Caenorhabditis elegans: one gene and its partners. The protein of the gene in region 2 purifies or fractionates together with the protein of the main gene of each other region. This does not show direct contact. Each region holds a gene or a part of one and is shown on either strand. Other genes may lie near its edges.

Region 1 (5,839 bases), on a different chromosome or scaffold from region 2:
AGTTGAAGAATCACATCATAGTAATCTTCATCCATTTTTCCGAAATTTAATGGTCACGCCCCCAAGAACTGAAAGAGTTCCAAGACCTGTAAGAGATTCTCCAAAAGGAAACGAAGACAATACATGCGGCATGTTCTTAGAAATGATACATCTCAACGTTCCAGTCCATACAGTAATCCTAGAAGACGCTCATGCATAGTTCCACCAATTTTTCCTAGAAAGGTCAGTTTTTGAATTTTAATGAGAACTCTGAGCAACCTTTGTTCTCTTTCAGGATTCTCGCATTCATCAGTACTTTCCATTTGATCCTCCATCTCCTTTGTCATCAGAAGAAAAAACTCCAACACAGTCTCGTCACAATTCACCGTCTCCAACAAGGTCTCCTGTAACAGAACCTAAAGAATATGATCCAATAGTACCTCCAAACAGCCCAAAAAGGGGAATTCCAGAGCACTGGTCACAGCGAGCACAAGATAATATTACAATGGGATTTGGTTTTGCTCAGAGTTGGATGAACACCATAAAACCATCGAGAAATACAGTAGAAGAACGAATAAGACTCCCACAAATATATCATGTTCCAAGAAAAGAATTCGTTTGTTTGGTGGCACTCACATCGGTTGATGAAGCTCTCTTCCACACAATATTAATGTTCCCATGACTTCTGAGGTCTTTTAAAATGCATTTCTTCTCTTCTTCAGATCGAAATTTTGTATACATCTCAGCACCCCATAAACAAAAGTTAATTTTCAAAAAATGTTTGATAGATTTGATTCTGTTGAATATTTTCGGCTGCATACTTTAAGCAACAAGTGGATTTTACACCAAATTGTTAACTGTGAGCCGAAAAGGCTGCATCCCTTTTTTGATAAAGAACCAAAGCCAAACCACGTACGGGCTAGAAGAGGAAGAGATTATGATCGTTTCTGAATTTTCAAATAATATTGTAATGTTATTTTCTTCATATGTGCTAGTAAAATGCTTTTTATGGGATGATGCAAGTGAATTTTTCTACATTTCTCGACAATTTATTTGCAATGCAAGTAAGCAGCATAATGACGCAAAATTCGCCATTTTTTTTACATTTCTCTACATTTCTCGACATTTGAAAAAAACACTCATTTTTCGTCAAAACCACGTCTTTAGTTCACGACTTTACCTTCCCAGACGTTCACGTTTGTTAAAAGTAGTGTAAAATGGGAAAAATAAAAATAATTTGAGAATTTTAAAAGATAGATGCGTGGCCATTCAACGTGGTGTTGCAAAACAGCCAAATTTGAAAAATCAAACTTGATCATTTTTAAATTTTAGAATTCAAAACCACGTTGAATGACCACGCATCTATCTTTTAAAATTCTCAAATTATTTTTATTTTTCCCATTTTACACTACTTTTCACAAACGTGAACGTCTGGGAAGGTAAAGTCATGAACTAAAGACGTGGTTTTGACGAAAAATGAGTGTTTTTTCCCACGTCGAGAAATGTAGAGAAATGTAAATAAATGTAAAAAAATTGCGAATTTCGCGTCATTTCGCTGCTTACTTGCATTGCAAATAAATTGTTGAGAAATGTAGAAAAATTCACTTGCATCATCCCATTAGAGATGAATTCCTATTTGAAACTGCTGCAACTATGTAAAAAATATATATGGTGACTTATTGATATTTCATTTTCCATTTTCACAACCTCGTGGACCACCAAAGCAACATGCAATATTCTATTTTGTTTTTTAGGCCTGTTCAAATAAGTTTCCAGTGATACGCAATTTATCGTAGCCGTTATTGCACAAAAAACGTCAATGAGTGACAGTAGTCCACGCGCATAACTGTTCATCATTTTTCGTTTCATTTGTTTTTTCTCTGGACAGATCTGTGTTTCTCGCAATTTCTTTTCATATTAAATCGTTAAAATAGTAATTTTCAATTTCCAATTATAAGAAAACCGAAAGTTATTCTTATAATCTCTCAAATGCTTAAAAAACCAACCTAAATAAACAGAAGTTCCTTTTGGATTATTTTAAATTATTTTTGCCAAATCTAAAAATAAAACCAAAAATAAATCAAAATATTCTCAACTATGAGACATTTGTTTAAAAATCGTTTTTTTTTTCGCTTTTGTATTTTACAGGCAGTATTTGTTTTTTTACACACGTTGCCATCTTAATCTATTTTATTCGAAATTTTTATAAAATCTAAATTTATTTTCAGGACGGCGTCTTCCAATTATCTAATATCGGAGGATGTATTCGCCAGAATCGTAAGGCTCCTGCTCAATCATAAAAAAACGCTTGCCTCTATTGTTAATCCTACATGTCTCCCTTTTCTCACGTCTAGCGTTCTTCTCTCCCCTCCCAACATCGCCCTATCTACTGTAATCCAACGTCACCATCTGTCCCCGCTGCCTCCATGCCGTCGTCTTTTTTTGCTCCCGTTTGCTGCGATTGCCCTCCCACGAAGGACCTCTTTGGTGTAAACAGTGGAACGGACCCAAGAGTGCGCGTACGCGGTCCGCGAGCGGCTGACCGCGCACGTCATTAGAAGAGACAACAAATGAATCAGAGAGACGCAGAAGAAGGGACCATAATGTCCCGCCCTTTCCCCGTTGGGTTGAGAGACTTAGACCCCCGAACGCTGCTAATGTTACAAATATGTCATTCCAATAGGATTTTGGTCTACCGTCTGGCTGCATAGTTTTTTACTTCCTATTTTAACCTCATCACTCAATTGGTCTTATCTTCCATGTAACTTAGAATAATTTATTAATTTCAGAATGAACTCCAACATATCTTCTCCATCCCCTCCGTCGTCGTCTTCTCTTAATGCTCCAAGTCTTGCGGATGCTCCTGAAGTTAGATCCGATGATGGAGAAGCCGAAACTTCCGAACCATCGACTTCTGTCACAGCTGTACCAATGGAGATTGTGTCCCAAGCATCTACATCTGCTCCTGTTAACCAGTTGCTCGCGAGCGGAATTGATATGTCTAGCGTTATTAAAGTAAGTTTCCTCTATCCAAGATGTTATTTCATTTGATTGTTATTTCAGAACAACGCTGTTTTACAGGCACTTCTTGCCAGTGCCAGTGCCGGTGGATTCGGAGACAACGCAGGCCTCACCATGTCAAAATTATTGACCGCCGCTCTCGCCAATGGATCCACTGCGGTTGCTAAAAGAGATGCAGGTTCTCCACGTACTGATATCCCAAAGAAAACTCGTCTGAAAGTGTTTTCAAACGGATTTTTCATGACATTTGACAAGCTTTCATCATGTCAAAAGAAATATTTCTGGAGATGTGAATACAAGAACACTTGTAAAGCACGAATGCATACGGATATTGTTACTGAAAAGATCCTCACGTTTATCCATGAGCACAATCACAGTGCACCAATAGATGAAGAAGTTAGACTTTATGGATTGGACCCAACGAATATCGAAAGAAATCGTGTCTACATAGTTGGAAATGTTGCTGATCCAAATCAACGAAGAAAGATCCGAAAGCAAGTTGCGGATAGAGAAGCAGCTGCAAAGAGGCTCGTTCAACAGCAAGAAGAAGAACAACAGAAGCAACAAAGTGCATCATCAATTGTGGCGGCTCGAGCAGCTTATGCGCAAGCAATGCAGAATGGCTCAATACCCACATCTTCTGGGGTCGCGTCTTTTCTCCAGTCAACTTCGGCCACTGCTCCAATGACGTCTCATTCAATGCTCCTTGCGCAGATGCCATTTTTAAATAATATTAAAACGGAGATGTCAAATATGGTGAAAAACGAACAATTCACTCCTGAAAGATACACACAGCATATGTCTCCAAACTTGGTATGTCAACTTAGTGTTGAAAGTTTATTCTATAATAATTTTTAAGCCATTGCAGACCGCCACAATTGCTCCACTAATAATTCCAACAGAGAACTACGACTCACCTTCATATAGACAACCAGCAATCAAAAGAAAAGCTACTGATTTGACGAATGAAGAACATGATTTGAGAAGAGATCCGATGTTCCAGCCAACTTTCGAGCTTGCCAGAAAATTGAGAAAACTGTGGAAAGGAGAACCGAACAGATATCCAAGAACTACTACGACTCCGACTCATCATTTTGAATTCTTCCTTTCTAAAAATGATGGAACAGATGAGCATCTCTATGTTCCAATGAGAATCAATCTCCGTGATGAAGCACACTTAAAAGAGGCACTTCAAGACTTCTGTGGTCAACAATGTATCGGAATGCTTCTTTTCGGAATTTCACCAAAGATCAGTGTAATGTTCAATCAACCCATGTTGAATAATTGGGACAATAATCAATTCTTCCTGCTCGACATTTCAAATCCAAGCCGTTGGCGACTGATGTATGTGGATGATCAAGCTGTGTAATTTAACCGAATACTGATTGTTTTTTATATGTGTAAAATGTAAAATTTCCTCCACTCTCCACCTATCTCATTAAATATTTTCTGTGACATTTCTCCATCGAAACTGGTTTTTACCCAATGTAAACCTCATCCTAAGTCTACGATTCAATCTAAATCACATCTACCTCCCTTTTCCAGATGTTTTTTGAACCATTCCACTAATAATGTGTAATGTTATCTTTGACTTGCTATCAATTATCCTTATTTTTTAACGTGTTCTATCCGTTGTAGGATTGTAATAAAACAGTAAAGTGATAAGCGTGAATGATATAAAACACAGTTGAAAATGATTAGGTGATTGGAAGAAGAAATGAATTTGAAGAAGAATTTAGTGAATTCTGAAGAGGATGAACTTCGAAAAGTTGCTTTCGTGGCGACTGTTGTCAGGTATGTTCCGATTTCCACGTGGCAGAATAGTACAAGCTGGAAATTTTCAGTGCTGCTTCTGGAATCATGTGCATTATTCTAATTCCTGGGCTTTACACATATCTACAATATATTCAAAGCTCTGTTCAAACTGATGCAAGTGATTTCTATTCACATTTTGGTATTTATTCTGCATTTTTAGGTTGGATTTTGTGTTGACGGGGCTAAGAATCTGGAAAATATGTATGAATCAACGAAGGCTGTTGGTTCAGGGCCAGTAAAAAGACAAGCTGGATATGGAGGTAACTTGTAACTTTTGTGGGACTTTTTGAAACTAATTCAATATTAGCTTCTTCCCCCTCTCGAGCTTCTGGAAGTCATCCAGCTCCATCTCCATACGACGCTGCATCCACTTCTTCTTCATCTTCTTCCGATTCTTGTTGCAGCTGTGGAATTGGTCTTGCTGGGCCAGCAGGTTTCCCAGGTCGACCAGGACGAGATGGAATAGATGGACCAGCCGGAAAACCTGGACGAGATGGGCAAGATTTGGATGGAGAATCGTCTTCTGATGGATCACAAATTGAGCTTGATTGCCCAGCAGGACCACCAGGGCCACCAGGAAATCCAGGTCCTCAGGGTAATTCTGGGCGACCTGGAATGGATGGTATGCCTGGTAGAAATGGAAGATGCGGGAGACCAGGAGAGCAGGGAGAACGTGGACCAAATGGAGAAGATGGACGACCTGGAAGACGTGGAGACGATGGAATGCCCGGAACAGTTAACGAAATTCCAGGCCAAGCAGGTCCACCAGGTCTTCGTGGTGCTCCTGGAGCTACTGGATCGCAAGGACCACGTGGAAATGATGGTAGACCAGGAAACAAGGGACCAGCAGGACCACCTGGAGACCAAGGATTTGATGGAGCACCAGGAGGACCTGGAGCTGATGGAGAACCTGGAGCACAAGGACCTTTGGGAGCAAAGGGAGAATGTTCACACTGCCCACCTCCACGAACTGCTCCTGGATACTAATTTTTATCTGTTTTGTTGATTAGATTTAGTTTCTGTA
Region 2 (8,140 bases):
TATTGATTTTTCCGGAAATTTATCGATTTTTCTAAAAATTTATCGATTTTTCTGGAAATTTATTGATTTTTATTGAAAATTCAGTGATTTTTCTAAAAATTTATCGATTTTTCTGTAAATTTATTGATTTTTATTGAAAATTCAGTGATTTTTCTAAAAATTTATCGATTTTTCTGAAAATTTATCGATTTTTCTAAAAATTTATTGATTTTTCTAGAAATTATCGATTTTTCTAGGAATTTATCGATTTTTCTGGAAATTTATCGATTTTTCTGAAAACGTATCGATTTTTCTAAAAATTTATCGATTTTTCTGGAAATTTATCGATTTTTCTGAAAATTCAGTGCTTTTTGTAAAAATTTATCGATTTTACTGGAAATTTATTGATTTTTATTGAAAATTCAGTGATTTTTGTAAGAATTTATTTATTGATTTTTCTGGAAATTTATTGATTTTTCTAAAAATTTATCGATTTTTCTGGAAATTTATTGATTTTTATTGAAAATTCAGTGCTTTTTGTAAAAATTTATTGATTTTTCTGGAAATTTATTGATTTTTCTAAAAATTTATCGATTTTTCTGGAAATTTATTGATTTTTCTGGAAATTTATTGATTTTTATTGAAAATTCAGTGATTTTTGTAAAAATTTATCGATTTTTCTGGAAATTTATTGATTTTTATTGAAAATTCAGTGCTTTTTGTAAAAATTTATTGATTTTTCTGGAAATTTATTGATTTTTCCGGAAATTTATCGATTTTTCAGCCAAATTTCCAATGTTTTTTTCCAGAACCGCACCGACGCTCTGAAAGTTGAATTCGATGGCTCCAACACCAAAACCAAACTCATCGATTTACTGGAAAAAGCCAAGTTGACGCCTGGATTAAGCCCCAGCGCCGCCGGATGTGGAGATCAAAAATCGATTGACGAATTCGGAGAAATGTGGAAAGCCTATAGAAATAGCGAGGAAACTGTCGAAAAAACGCGGGAATACGGTCGTCAGATGAAGAAATTACTCGGAATTCAACAATAATTTACTGTTTTTTTTTAGTTCTGCTAAGATTATTATACATTCGTCACGAATGTGTAATAATTTTTTTTCTCGAAAATTTTTTGTTTTTTTTTTGTTATTCTAGCAGTTTTTATAATAGATCCCTCAAATTCTGTCAAAATTTGGAATTTTTTCCAAATTTTTAGCCGGATCTGTAATAATTTTTTTGTCCGAATTTTTTAGATAGTTCCCATCTTTCATGTTATTTCATTTTTTTTTGGAAAAATTTATATATATATATTTTCCAATTTTAAAAAATAGTTATTTTTAATGTGTGTAAAAATCAATACATACTTTATGATTTTTTTTTTCAAAAAAAAAAAAGAAGATAGTGTAATAGATTAAATTATCACAGAAAATAGAAAAATTGATGCTTATTTTAAAAAATTACAACATAGGTAAAAATGAAATATATATATGACATATCACAGAAATTATGAAGAAATATGCAGATTTTTTAGTTTTTTGCGGGGAATCTGGGGGAGAAATTGGTGGGAAATTCGAATTTTTGATAGAAAATAATTAAAAACTTTTTTAGAAGTTAAATTTAATTTCGGGAAATACCTTTTTCTCAGAAATTTTTGAAAATTTGCTCTAAAATGGGCAAATTTCATGTTTTTTAATGCGAAAAACCAGAAAAATCAATAAATTTTCCATAGAAATCGATAAATTTTCAGAAAAATCGATAAATTTTCAGAAAAATCAATAAATTTTCAGAAAAATCGATAAATTTTCAGAAAAATCAATAAATTTTCAGAAAAATCAATAAATTTTCAGAAAAAATAATTTTCCATAGAAATTGATACATTTCGAATTTTTTTGTTATTTTCCTAACCAAACGTAATAAATCTTTAAAAATTCTATTTTTCCAGCTAAAAATTGAGTTTTTTCCAAAAAAAAAATTTTTTCCGGAAAATTCGAAATAAAATGTGTTATTTCCTAGTTTTTCAAGCCGAAAAAAATTATTTTTTTCCTATTTTTCCTCAAAAATTCGAATTTCCCATCCATTTTTCCTCCACCGGGGATATCATTAAAGTGTAGAAGAAGAGCACGCAGTTTTGGATCTCTCTTCAAATTCCTGAATTCGTATTTCCAATTGAATCCGTACTTGAGCCAACCGTGCTCTTTCGGCTTCTAATTCCGAATTTTGAGTCCTCAAAGCTGTACAACGTTCCTTCCATCGTTCAATTCCTTGCCCATCAGTTGCCTGAATCTCTTCTCCAATTAAATCGTCGATTTGATGGCCGATTTTCGAGAAAAAGCTCTTCACATCTTCCTCAGAATAGAGTAATTCTGTAGTTTGTGTTGATGAATCTGTTGTGGTAATTCGTTTTTCCTCTTCGATGACTCTCTGCAAAAATATTGTGAATTTTTGGAGATTTTTCAGTGAAAAATTTGAAAAATTTGAAGAAAAATGGTTAAAAATGAGTATTTTTGAATTTTGGCGCTGCTAAAACTACAAACTACAAGTAAATTTTTAGCAGCCCGCCCAAGAAATTAGCAGCGCCCAAGAAATTAGCAGCGCCCAAGAAATTAGCAGCGCCCAAAAAAATAGCAGCGCCCAAAAATTAGCAGCGCCCAAAAAAATAGCAGCGCACAAAAAAATAGCCAAAAATTGTTTAAAAATCATATTTTTGTGATTTTCAACCTGTTCAGAAAATAAAAACTACACTAATTTTCGATTTTATCGCAATTTTGAAAAGTTTTTCTTAAAAATTCGTTAAAACGAATAATTTCAAACTTTGGGCGCTGCTAAGACTACAAACTACAACTAAAAGCTTTCCCTTAACTTACCGGTAGAGGTGACGGTGTGATTCTTTGTGGAATCGGCGGTGGAATACTGTCCGGGGTGGCTGAAAATTTGCGGAAATTGGGAATATTTTGATTTTTTCTCGAAAATTGAAAGCAATATATTTTTTGAAAAATTCCAGTTTTTTTAAAATTTTTTTCGAATTTCTGCCCAATTTTTCAGTCTCATACCAGGAAAAGACGCAAAAGTAGTCGTAGTCGTTGTAGTACTAATCGATTGAGCTGTCGGATCGGAATGTGATGACCAAAGTGATAGGGTAGTTGGTGGTAGCTGGGATTCCGCCGAGGCTTTTGTCTTATTCAATGCAATCAATTTCAAGTCAAGACTTGCACTTCTGTTGTGTCCACGTTGTTGTTGTTGTGGGCGGACAGGTGGAATTGGTGGGGGTCCTGAAAATATGGATTATTGATTTCGGGCGCTGCTCTTAGATTGCAAATACTACTAAATATTGAGTGTTGCGTGTTTTAATGAACTTACTTAATACTTAATACTTATTAATACTTATTTAGGTAATTAAATAACTAAGTTACTAACTACATACTTACGTAGTTAGTAATTTAATTACTAAGTTACTAATTAAGTACTTATTTAGATGATGATTAAATAAGAAAATTAGTAGTTAAAAACTCACTCTGTTACTAATTAAATACCCACTTAGTTAGTAATTAAATACTCACTTAGTAGCAATTTAATACTTCCTTAGTTACAAATTAAATAACTACGTTACTGATTAAATACTCACTTTGTTACTAATTAACACTAACAGGGTTAGTAATTAAATACTTACTTAGTTATTTAATTACTAACTAAGTCACTAATTAAATACTTCCTGAGTTATAAATTAAATAACTATGTTACTAATTAAATACTCACTAAGTTAGTAATTAAATTCGTATTGAGTTAGTAATTTCATAACTAAGTTTCTAATTAACTACTTACCAAGTTATATAATTAGCAACTCAGTAAGTATTTTAATTACTAACTAAGTCACGAATTAAAAACGTACTTAAATAGTTATTAATTAAATAATTAGTTACTTAGTCAGTATATAAATAACTATGTTACTGATTAGAAAACTAGGTTTTCTAAAACATTTGAATCGAAAACTATTGTAGTTTTTGTAGTATGACTGCTATTCAACTAGCAATTTTTCGAATAAATTATTATTAGTCAATAATTTAAACTTTTTATATTGTGTTCACACATTTGAGAAGTATAATAAACACTACAACAATTTCTTCAATGAATCCAAACTTACCCAGTGGACTCTTAAGTGCTAACAATGCAGAATGCTTGATAGCTGTTGGCCTACTGTCCACTAATAATGGCGGTGTATCCGAGAATTGTTTGATGATTGGCTGGTTTGCCCACTGGAATTGGAAAAATTCGAAATTAAAAAAAAAACGTCGTTAATGTTTTGAATGATGATACATATTCAAAAGTCAATTAAATTATTTCAAAAACCCCCACATTTTTCACTGGCCCATCAGCTTCTACATGTCCTGCACCGGCGGGACTAGGCGTCGCCGCAACTGTAGACGGAGCCCGTGGCTCTGTAAGTGGTGGCCGCGCGAAACCGGGTAGCACATCAGGAATCGGAACTTCTCCTTTCACTTTCAACACTACTAAATGCATCGCAATCGAGAATTCGTTTAAATCCAACCATCCGTCTTCATTCACATCGGCCAGCGACCAGATTTTCGATAAAGAGCTCATATCCAGCGAGCTTCTCTTGAAAAACGCTACAATTCGTTGATCGGCTCCGCAAAGGGCTCCGCAGAGGTCTGCGGCGCCTTGAGTGGTTTTTATTAAGTGACGGAAGCATTTTGTGTAGTATTCCTGCTGTTTTTCAGTGATTTTGAAGAGAGAATCCGCGTTGGAATCGGCTGAAAATTGGGGAAATTTGGATTTTTTCGAGTTTTTTAGCTTTAAAACCGAAATAATTTCGATTTTTGCAATTTTCCCTGAGAAAATGTGCTTAAAAATAGAAAAAATCGATTTTGGCGCCGCTAAACGGAAAAGCAGCGTCCAAAATTGTGTAGTTTGTAGCTTTAGCAGCGCCCAAAATTGTGTAGTTTGTAGCTTTAGCAGCGCCCAAAATCTTGTAGTTTGTAGTTTAGCAGCGCCCAAAATTGAATTAGCAGCGCCCAAACTTGTAGTTTGTAGTTTAGCAGCGCCCAAAATTGTGTAGTTTGTAGTTTAGCAGCGCCCAAAATTGTGTAGTTTGTAGTTTAGCAGCGCCCAAAATTGTGTAGTTTGTAGTTTAGCAGCGCCCAAAATTGTGTAGTTTGTAGTTTAGCAGCGACCAATATCTTGTAGTTTGTAGTTTAGCAGCGCCCAAAATTGTGTAGTTTGTAGCTTTAGCAGCGCCCAAAATTGTGTAGTTTGTAGTTTAGCAGCGCCCAAAATCTTGTAGTTTGTAGTTTAGCAGCGCCCAAAATTGTGTAGTTTGTAGTTTAGCAGCGACCAATATCTTGTAGTTTGTAGTTTAGCAGCGCCCAAAATTGAATTAGCAGCGCCTAAAATTGTGTAGTTTGTAGTCTAAGCAGCGCCCAAAAAATTCACTCAAAAACCTTCAAAAGTGGTTTTTTTAAATTAGTTTCATCTGTTTTATAGCGGAAATCTCTTCAAAAATGCGAAAAAATTTGAGAAAAATCGAAAAAGGTTATATTTTCATTAAAACTACTCATTTTTGAGGATAATTTTGCACTTTTTCCTAATTTTTCTGGATTTTTCACCGTTTTTCAGCTTAATTTCCACGTTTTTGCATCAAATTTGCCGATTTCGAGCTGAAATTCTTTATTTTTCAAAATAATCACCTGGACTCGTGTGCTTCAGACGTCTCGGACTACTAATAATATCGGCAGCGACTTTTTCAAAGTCTCCATTCGAAAAATATTGCGATTTTTTGTCGTTTTCTGTCATGGAAATTGATTTTTTCGCGGAAAAGCAAATAAAATAGTTGGTGCACGAGAAATGCGCCAGCGCACTGGAGATGCGCAAAGGGGGTTGACTGGCGCGATTCTCGTGCCGGCAAATTTATTTTTTCGTTTTGAAACGATGTTTCAGCTGAAAAACTCAATTTTCACAGATTTTTTGGGTAAAAATCAGTTTTTTAAAGCAAAAATTAATTAAAAAAGCGTTAAAATCTCCTATTCATACACCTAAAACGCTGAAAAATATCCATTTCCTAGTTGTATAATTTGTTTTTCAGTTTTAAAGTGGTTTTTCATGGATTTCGGGGTTTTTACGGGTGAAAACTATCAAATATCGGCAAGATTCAACCGATTTTCGAGCTAAATCTGAAATTTTTGCGAAAAATAATGAAATTCAGCCGGAAAATCGTATTTTTAAGGTTTTTTTTGCCCCAAAATTCGATTTTAACAGCATAACAATTATTTTTTCCAGGTTCTGATGCCCCAATCGTCCGAAATCCCGCAGATTCCTGAAAAAGCCCGAAATCTCACAAAAAGAGAGCTGAAAACGCTGAAAAATGCGCTCGGGAAGCAAGGATTAACGATGGAACAGCACGAAAATGCTCAAAAATCCACAAAACCCTGCGAAATCCTTCAAATCGACACTTTTTCGATTGATAATTCGAATTTAGAAGACGGCTGGTACGTTGGATATGGCGTCGAGTACAATGGCGTCGGAATTTCGGCCGCCGGGGGGGCTCCAGACAGCTCGGCGAGCAGTGAATCCGGTGATCTACCGCCGGCTGAAAATCGAGAAGCCGGCGGCGGGGAAAGCAGCGGATTCGATTCGGATCCACCGACTGATGATGATGATGATGAAGCACCGCAAGAGCTGCTGGAACGGCGAGAAAGTGATGATATTAGTGATAAAGGACAGCTTTTGTATGGATTGGACAGTGAATTTTATGTTGATAAGGCGCTGAAACCCACAAATGTCGAATTTCACGATAAAAATGACACGAAAAGCTTCAAAACTGGCGAATTTGTGTAAGTTTCGAGGAATTGAGCCCCACGTGGAAACTACAAACTACAAGTTTTGGGCGCTGCTCAAGCGATTTCCGCTGAAAAATCATAAAAATTCCCAAATTTTAACGAATTAAACAGAAAATTCCGTCGAAAAATGCGAAAAAACCGGCAATTTTGGTTAATTTTGAGCGAAAATGTGATTTTGGGCGCTGCTAAACTACAAACTACAAGTTTTGGGCGCTGCTAATTCAATTTTGGGCGCTGCTTAGAATACAAACTACAAGTTTTGGGCGCTGCTTAGACTACAAACTACAAGTTTTGGGCGCTGCTAACACTACAAACTACAAATTTTGGGCGCTGCTTAGACTACAAACTACAAGTTTTGGGCGCTGCTAATTCAATTTTGGGCGCTGCTTAGACTACAAACTACAAGTTTTGGGCGCTGCTAAACTACAAACTACAACTTTTGGGCGCTGCTAATTCAATTTTACGCGCTGCTAAACTACAAACTACAAGTTTTGGGCGCTGCTAACACTACAAACTACAACTTTTGGGCGCTGCTAATTCAATTTTGGGCGCTGCTAAACTACAAACTACAACTTTTGGGCGCTGCTAATTCAATTTTACGCGCTGCTAAACTACAAACTACAAGTTTTGGGCGCTGCTAACACTACAAACTACAACTTTTGGGCGCTGCTAATTCAATTTTGGGCGCTGCTAAACTACAAACTACAACTTTTGGGCGCTGCTAATTCAATTTTGGGCGCTGCTTAGACTACAAACTACAAGTTTTGGGCGCTGCTTAGACTACAAATTACAAGTTTTGGGCGCTGCTAACACTACAAACTACAAATTTTGGGCGCTGCTAAACTACAAACTACAACTTTTGGGCGCTGCTTAGACTACAAACTACAAGTTTTGGGCGCTGCTAATTCAATTTTGGGCGCTGCTTAGACTACAAACTACAAGTTTTGGGCGCTGCTAACACTACAAACTACAACTTTTGGGCGCTGCTAATTCAATTTTGGGCGCTGCTTAGACTACAAACTACAAGTTTTGGGCGCTGCTAATTCAATTTTGGGCGCTGCTTAGACTACAAACTACAAGTTTTGGGCGCTGCTAATTCAATTTTGGGCGCTGCTTAGACTACAAACTACAAGTTTTGGGCGCTGCTAAACTACAAACTACAAGTTTTGGGCGCTGCTAACACTACAAACTACAAGTTTTGGGCGCTGCTAATTCAATTTTGGGCGCTGCTAAACTACAAACTACAACTTTTGGGCGCTGCTCAAGGGAAAAATCAGTTTTTTTTTCTGAAAAGTATCGCCGAAAACTGAAAA
Region 3 (4,706 bases), on a different chromosome or scaffold from region 2:
CGGGCACCTGTAGGCGCTCAGTAAGGCATGTTTATGCCTACAGCTTTATCAACATGATATCTACAGAATACACTTAAAACATCATGATCTTCAAAAACTCAAAGATACAAATGAAGAATAACAAAAAAATTGAGATCTCACCTCAAAATGAATGTATAACAACTCCATTCAACGAGCCCACTTGCACGAATATTAACCTTTTCAGTCTGGAGACTGTCCACTTTATCAACATGAAGCATTTCTTGAAAACCTGAAAATGTAAATAAGCACTTGATTTTCAAAGCAGTTTTTGGAGGTTTCTTTTTATCAATTCGAATTCTGCGATAAGAAATGTTGCATTTTGTTTGGTTTTCCATCTAGTTGATCAGAAAGAGGGAGGAGCTTTTTTTTTAGATAATCAAGTGACTACAAACCGATCAAGTGATTGTTACAATAGACTCTTAAAGTGCATTTCCCGAAAAAAAAATTGAAATTTGTCTAAAACCTGTTATTAAACTTTTTAGATGAATACTGATAGAAGGCAACAAATGCTTGAATAGCTTTAGTAAAGTAGAATATTACAAAGATCTTGCTAATTAAAAAAAATTATATACAAAGATTTGACTCATTATCAATTGTCTGATAGTCAGATTTGCATGCCACATTTTGAAATCATATTCTTTTTATTTCTTAAGAAAGAAAAAAAAATTTAAGAACAACATGCAAGTATTTGTGTGTTGAAAACTAGGGTAAATCAAATGGAAGTGTTGGTAATATTGGCAAATGTCTGAATAACTTCTGTATTTAGGAATTACAACAAATATTGGTGGGATTTCGTTTGTATTTTTGGTTTCAATAGATCAATGAAGCTACTTAAGTGAACGATTTAAAATAATTAAATTTCAGCCGAGTGTCATCGTCAGTCTAGAGTACATTTTATGGATTTTAATTTTCACTTTAAGGATAAAGAGGTGCCACAGTTGACAATAAAACGGATTTAATCTGGATATCAATTCATGTTCGGACGCTGCGACCGCCAAATAAATATATTACGTTTTTAATACTTCAATTCAGTCTTTCCTTTGTCTCTTTTTAAATCCTAGTTTGAAGAGCCCCATACATATAAACTTAACTTCCATTAGCTATTTCATGGTTCTATAAATCTAGGGTACCAGTTTTTGTGACCTTATATTTTGGTACCTTCTCAATCTGCCGTTTCAGGGAGAGGGAGACAATAAGCAGACGATCTCATAGAGCCTTTCTGGATATCGATCCAAATCCAGACGCTGTAATGAACTACCTAACATTCACTCTCATTCATGTTGTTCTCAATTCATTCTTCTCATTTTATCCAGGTCCCATTCGGTACGTTTATTTTTTTGTTCTTATTTTGATTGTTTTAATTTTCTGAGATATCCCAGTTGCAGTCCTAGTAAGTAATTGTGTATTTGTATTAATTCCTTTAAAAAATCTTCAACCGAAGACGAAAAGAGAATAGAGCCCTCTATTTCAGAATACTGACATTTCTAGTGTAAATAAAATAGTGTAAAAAAGTATTACTTTGGTTTTTCATGTACCGGATTTTTCCTGATCGTATTGCACGTATATCTGATTTTAAATAGCTTATATGGCCTTCGAGACTGCTAGATTTTCAATTAAAAACTGGAATAGCATATTTATAGCCAAAATTAATTTTTGAAACTTGAAAGTGATAAAATTTTTTTACATCTTTGAATGTTAACATTTTTTTCTTTCTTAAGGTTTGAGTGGGATGAAAGATTGATAAAACCTGCGAGATTTGTATCGATGGTACTGAATTAACAATAGTGGGAGCTAGATTAATTGGAATTGGAAATTTAGTTTCTTTCAACGTTTACAAAATGCCCATTTTAGTATAGCCATAGATTTGGAGTCAACTACATTCTGAATGACTTCTCTCGATCCAATCAATATATTATGTTCTTCGACAGAAGATCACCATACAATGCAACGCTTTTCCAAAATTGTGAATATCGATCCATATTTGGACGCTGTAAATTCTCACCATCGTTCTCTCTCACTGTTTTTTCGATCCAATTACTCATTCTCACCTAACATTCTCAAAAGGTGCATCTTTCCTTTTTTCATTTATTTATTTGCTCTAGTATTTTCTACTGCAGTTTCACTAAACGTTTCTTTTCAATTAAATATTTTTCAGAACTGAAACTATGTTTGCTGAAAATCCATTCTTCACTCCCACCGAGTCCAAGTTGAAATCGGAGATCGCACTTCTTCAAATGAAATTGGATGACGAACGATTTGATCATCAGAAAACGTAAGTTGTTTGAACTCTAGGACAACGTGCAACCTGTTATATAGATTATATTGTACTAACCCATTCTTAATATGTTCAATTTCAGACGACGAGAGCTTGCCAATTCTCGACTTGAGATCTCTGATCTGAAAGGGGAAGCGAAGTGCCATGATTCGGAACTCAATCGTCTCTACACAATAATCAATAATTTGGAAAAGAAGGTTGAAGATTTGAATGGAGAACATCAAAAGTCATTGGAAAAATTGAAAGAACGTCTTCATGAAAAGGATGCTTTTATCGAGGCTTGTGAAGAATTCTATGATGAGAAGAAGATCAATGTGAACAAAATGACATTGATGAAACAAGAAATGGAATTGAAGAGAATCAAAAAGAACTTTGAAGAATACAAGGAAAGAATGACTGAAGTTGAGAAAAATTTGAACGAATTTATCAAAAGACAATCGGCCATTTGTATGGGAGTGAGATATGAATTGAATATGGAAAAGGATTCGAGAGAGAGATATTTCAAAGAAGCTCAACAATTGAAACAAGAGAAAGATGTATTGGTACATGAAATCAATGAAAGAGAAGTCAGAATTTTGTGTCTGAGAAGTGATATTCTTACATTGAAATCTGAAAACAACGACACCTCTAAGGAACTTGATGAAATGAAAAATGGAACCAAAGCTTTGAAACATGAACTTGAAGAGACCAAGAAAATGAAATCCGAAGCCTTGTCGAAATATGAAGAATCTCAAAAAGAGTTCGAACAGTTCAACTTGAAGTTCCAAAGATTGTGCACAAAGTTCTACGAGGAACGTGTCTCTTCTCAGACAACTTCACCTAAAATGAAAGAACATCTGGCATCTGCTAAGAAACGATTGTCTGCTATCAAGGAAACACTCCAAAATGAAGAAGATTTTGATGAAACCGGAGAAGTAACCAATTATCAATAATTTAATATCACCCAATTACTTTTTCCGTGTTAATTTTTCTTCTTTTAGCTACTATCGCTTTTTTAGCATTTTTTCGATTTGATACTATTGCTTTTACTTTACCATTTCCATTGCACTTTTTCGTTTGTTGTAATACGAAACAATACGGCTTAATTTTTCAACGCCTCGGCATTCTTTCAATCCATCTTAAAATGTTACTCTCTTAATTATTCAATAAATGTTTCATTAAATATCGGAATCACTTTTTAACGTGGATTTTTATAACCAAACAGGTGTACGAAAAGTTTACTATCAATTTTAAATAACAGGCAGAATCAGAGAACTTCACATCGAAACACAACATGAAAAGTAAAACACACGACTAGCGATAAAAACTGTTGGAAAAATCAATCAAATTCAAGAGGAATTTGAAAAGTACGTGCTGAAGGTGGTAGATTAGTGAAAGCTATTACAATATTTCCAACAATTGTGGTTTCATCTTCCATGTTCTTTTTTGAGTGAAATCGAGATGAGTTTTTTGAGAGAGTACTCTAGAATCTGTAAAAGTCGATGATGTAGCGAAAAAGTGCAAATATCATTTTTGCATGAAAAACTAAAACTGATTAGATAAGAAATGACAACAATGGTTAATGATGTTGACCTATGCTCTGCTTGTATACCGTGATTAGTGTCTTTGAAATCAATTCCATAAAATAAAATACGTGAGTGTGAGTTCAAATATACCATTAGAAGACAGTTCAGACCTAGAAAATGTTTTGCAACCAGTTTTGTATATTCTCGAATTAACAATTTTTATGCAAAATGATTTATTTGTAGGAAAACAAAGGGAAGCTAAGCTGAAACCTTGTCAACACGCTTGCGGAAGACCTTGCGATGTTTACGAACTACAACGGAACGAGATGGGCATGGACAATGAGCAGCATCTCCTCCTGGAGATCCAGAGTTTCCTGGCGCTCCTGGAGTTCCTTGTGCACCGGCTTGCCCTGGCTGTCCTGGTGCTCCTGAGGCTCCTGATCCACCAGATTGTACTGGTTGTCCTGGTCCTCCGGCTGGTCCTTGTGGTCTTGGTGCTCCTGGTTGTCCAGAAACTTCAACATGTCCTTGCTCTCCTTGTGCTCCAGGCTGACCTGGTGGTCCTGGTGGTCCAGCTGGGCATCCTTGAGATTGGGATTCACAGTTACATTGTGCTTGACGCGTGTTGGCTCTACGTTTAATTCTTCCAAAGACATCGATTGGTTTCACCATTGAGTTCCATGCCTGTTGTTCGTTGAACTGAAACATTAAAAATATGCAAATGTTTTTCGAAGCTTTGGTTAAAAAAAATATACTTTGAACTCAGTCATAGTATCCATAACCTCATCGTAGAAGGAATTGATATCATTGAAACTATATCCAACAGCGAAAAGACATGCAATAACTGCAACTCCACTGCCTATGCTGACAATTCTAACCAAAAGTGATAAGTGGGGAGATTTTTA

Evidence for each region.
Region 1: the proteins of reps-1 (region 2) and flh-1 purify together in Caenorhabditis elegans (affinity purification with western blotting, with the first as the bait; one study listed by BioGRID). This does not show direct contact.
Region 3: the proteins of reps-1 (region 2) and vet-1 purify together in Caenorhabditis elegans (affinity purification with western blotting, with the first as the bait; one study listed by BioGRID). This does not show direct contact.

The regions. Positions count from the first base shown.
Region 1 is NC_003282.8:9,260,632-9,266,470, reverse strand, and holds flh-1 (FLYWCH transcription factor 1), read left to right. Parts: upstream 1-2,207; 5' UTR 2,208-2,239; coding exon 2,240-2,256; intron 2,257-2,768; coding exon 2,769-2,994; intron 2,995-3,042; coding exon 3,043-3,813; intron 3,814-3,859; coding exon 3,860-4,369; 3' UTR 4,370-4,663; downstream 4,664-5,839. Other genes in the region: Y11D7A.19 (NADH dehydrogenase [ubiquinone] 1 alpha subcomplex subunit 13), read left to right, coding at 124-222, 275-661; col-120 (Nematode cuticle collagen N-terminal domain-containing protein), read left to right, coding at 4,718-4,794, 4,845-4,929, 4,976-5,075, 5,123-5,802. UniProt on the Caenorhabditis elegans protein: Probable transcription factor. Binds to the DNA sequence motif 5'-[AG]GGCGCCG-3' in the promoters of target genes, including micro-RNA genes, in order to repress expression, and acting redundantly with flh-2.
Region 2 is NC_003283.11:18,984,585-18,992,724, forward strand, and holds reps-1 (REPS (RalBP1-associated Eps domain-containing protein) homolog), read right to left. Parts: upstream 5,917-8,140; 5' UTR 5,785-5,916; coding exon 5,679-5,784; intron 4,746-5,678; coding exon 4,330-4,745; intron 4,230-4,329; coding exon 4,118-4,229; intron 3,249-4,117; coding exon 3,030-3,248; intron 2,903-3,029; coding exon 2,844-2,902; intron 2,401-2,843; coding exon 2,080-2,400; 3' UTR 1,390-2,079; downstream 1-1,389. Other genes in the region: mrps-35 (Small ribosomal subunit protein mS35 mitochondrial conserved domain-containing protein), read left to right, coding at 789-1,031; Y39B6A.37 (Structural protein), read left to right, coding at 6,274-6,821.
Region 3 is NC_003279.8:6,199,547-6,204,252, reverse strand, and holds vet-1 (Very Early Transcript), read left to right. Parts: upstream 1-2,176; 5' UTR 2,177-2,186; coding exon 2,187-2,293; intron 2,294-2,378; coding exon 2,379-3,228; 3' UTR 3,229-3,455; downstream 3,456-4,706. Other genes in the region: T05E7.1 (BAAT_C domain-containing protein), read right to left, coding at 142-239; col-55 (Collagen triple helix repeat protein), read right to left, coding at 4,060-4,500, 4,557-4,580.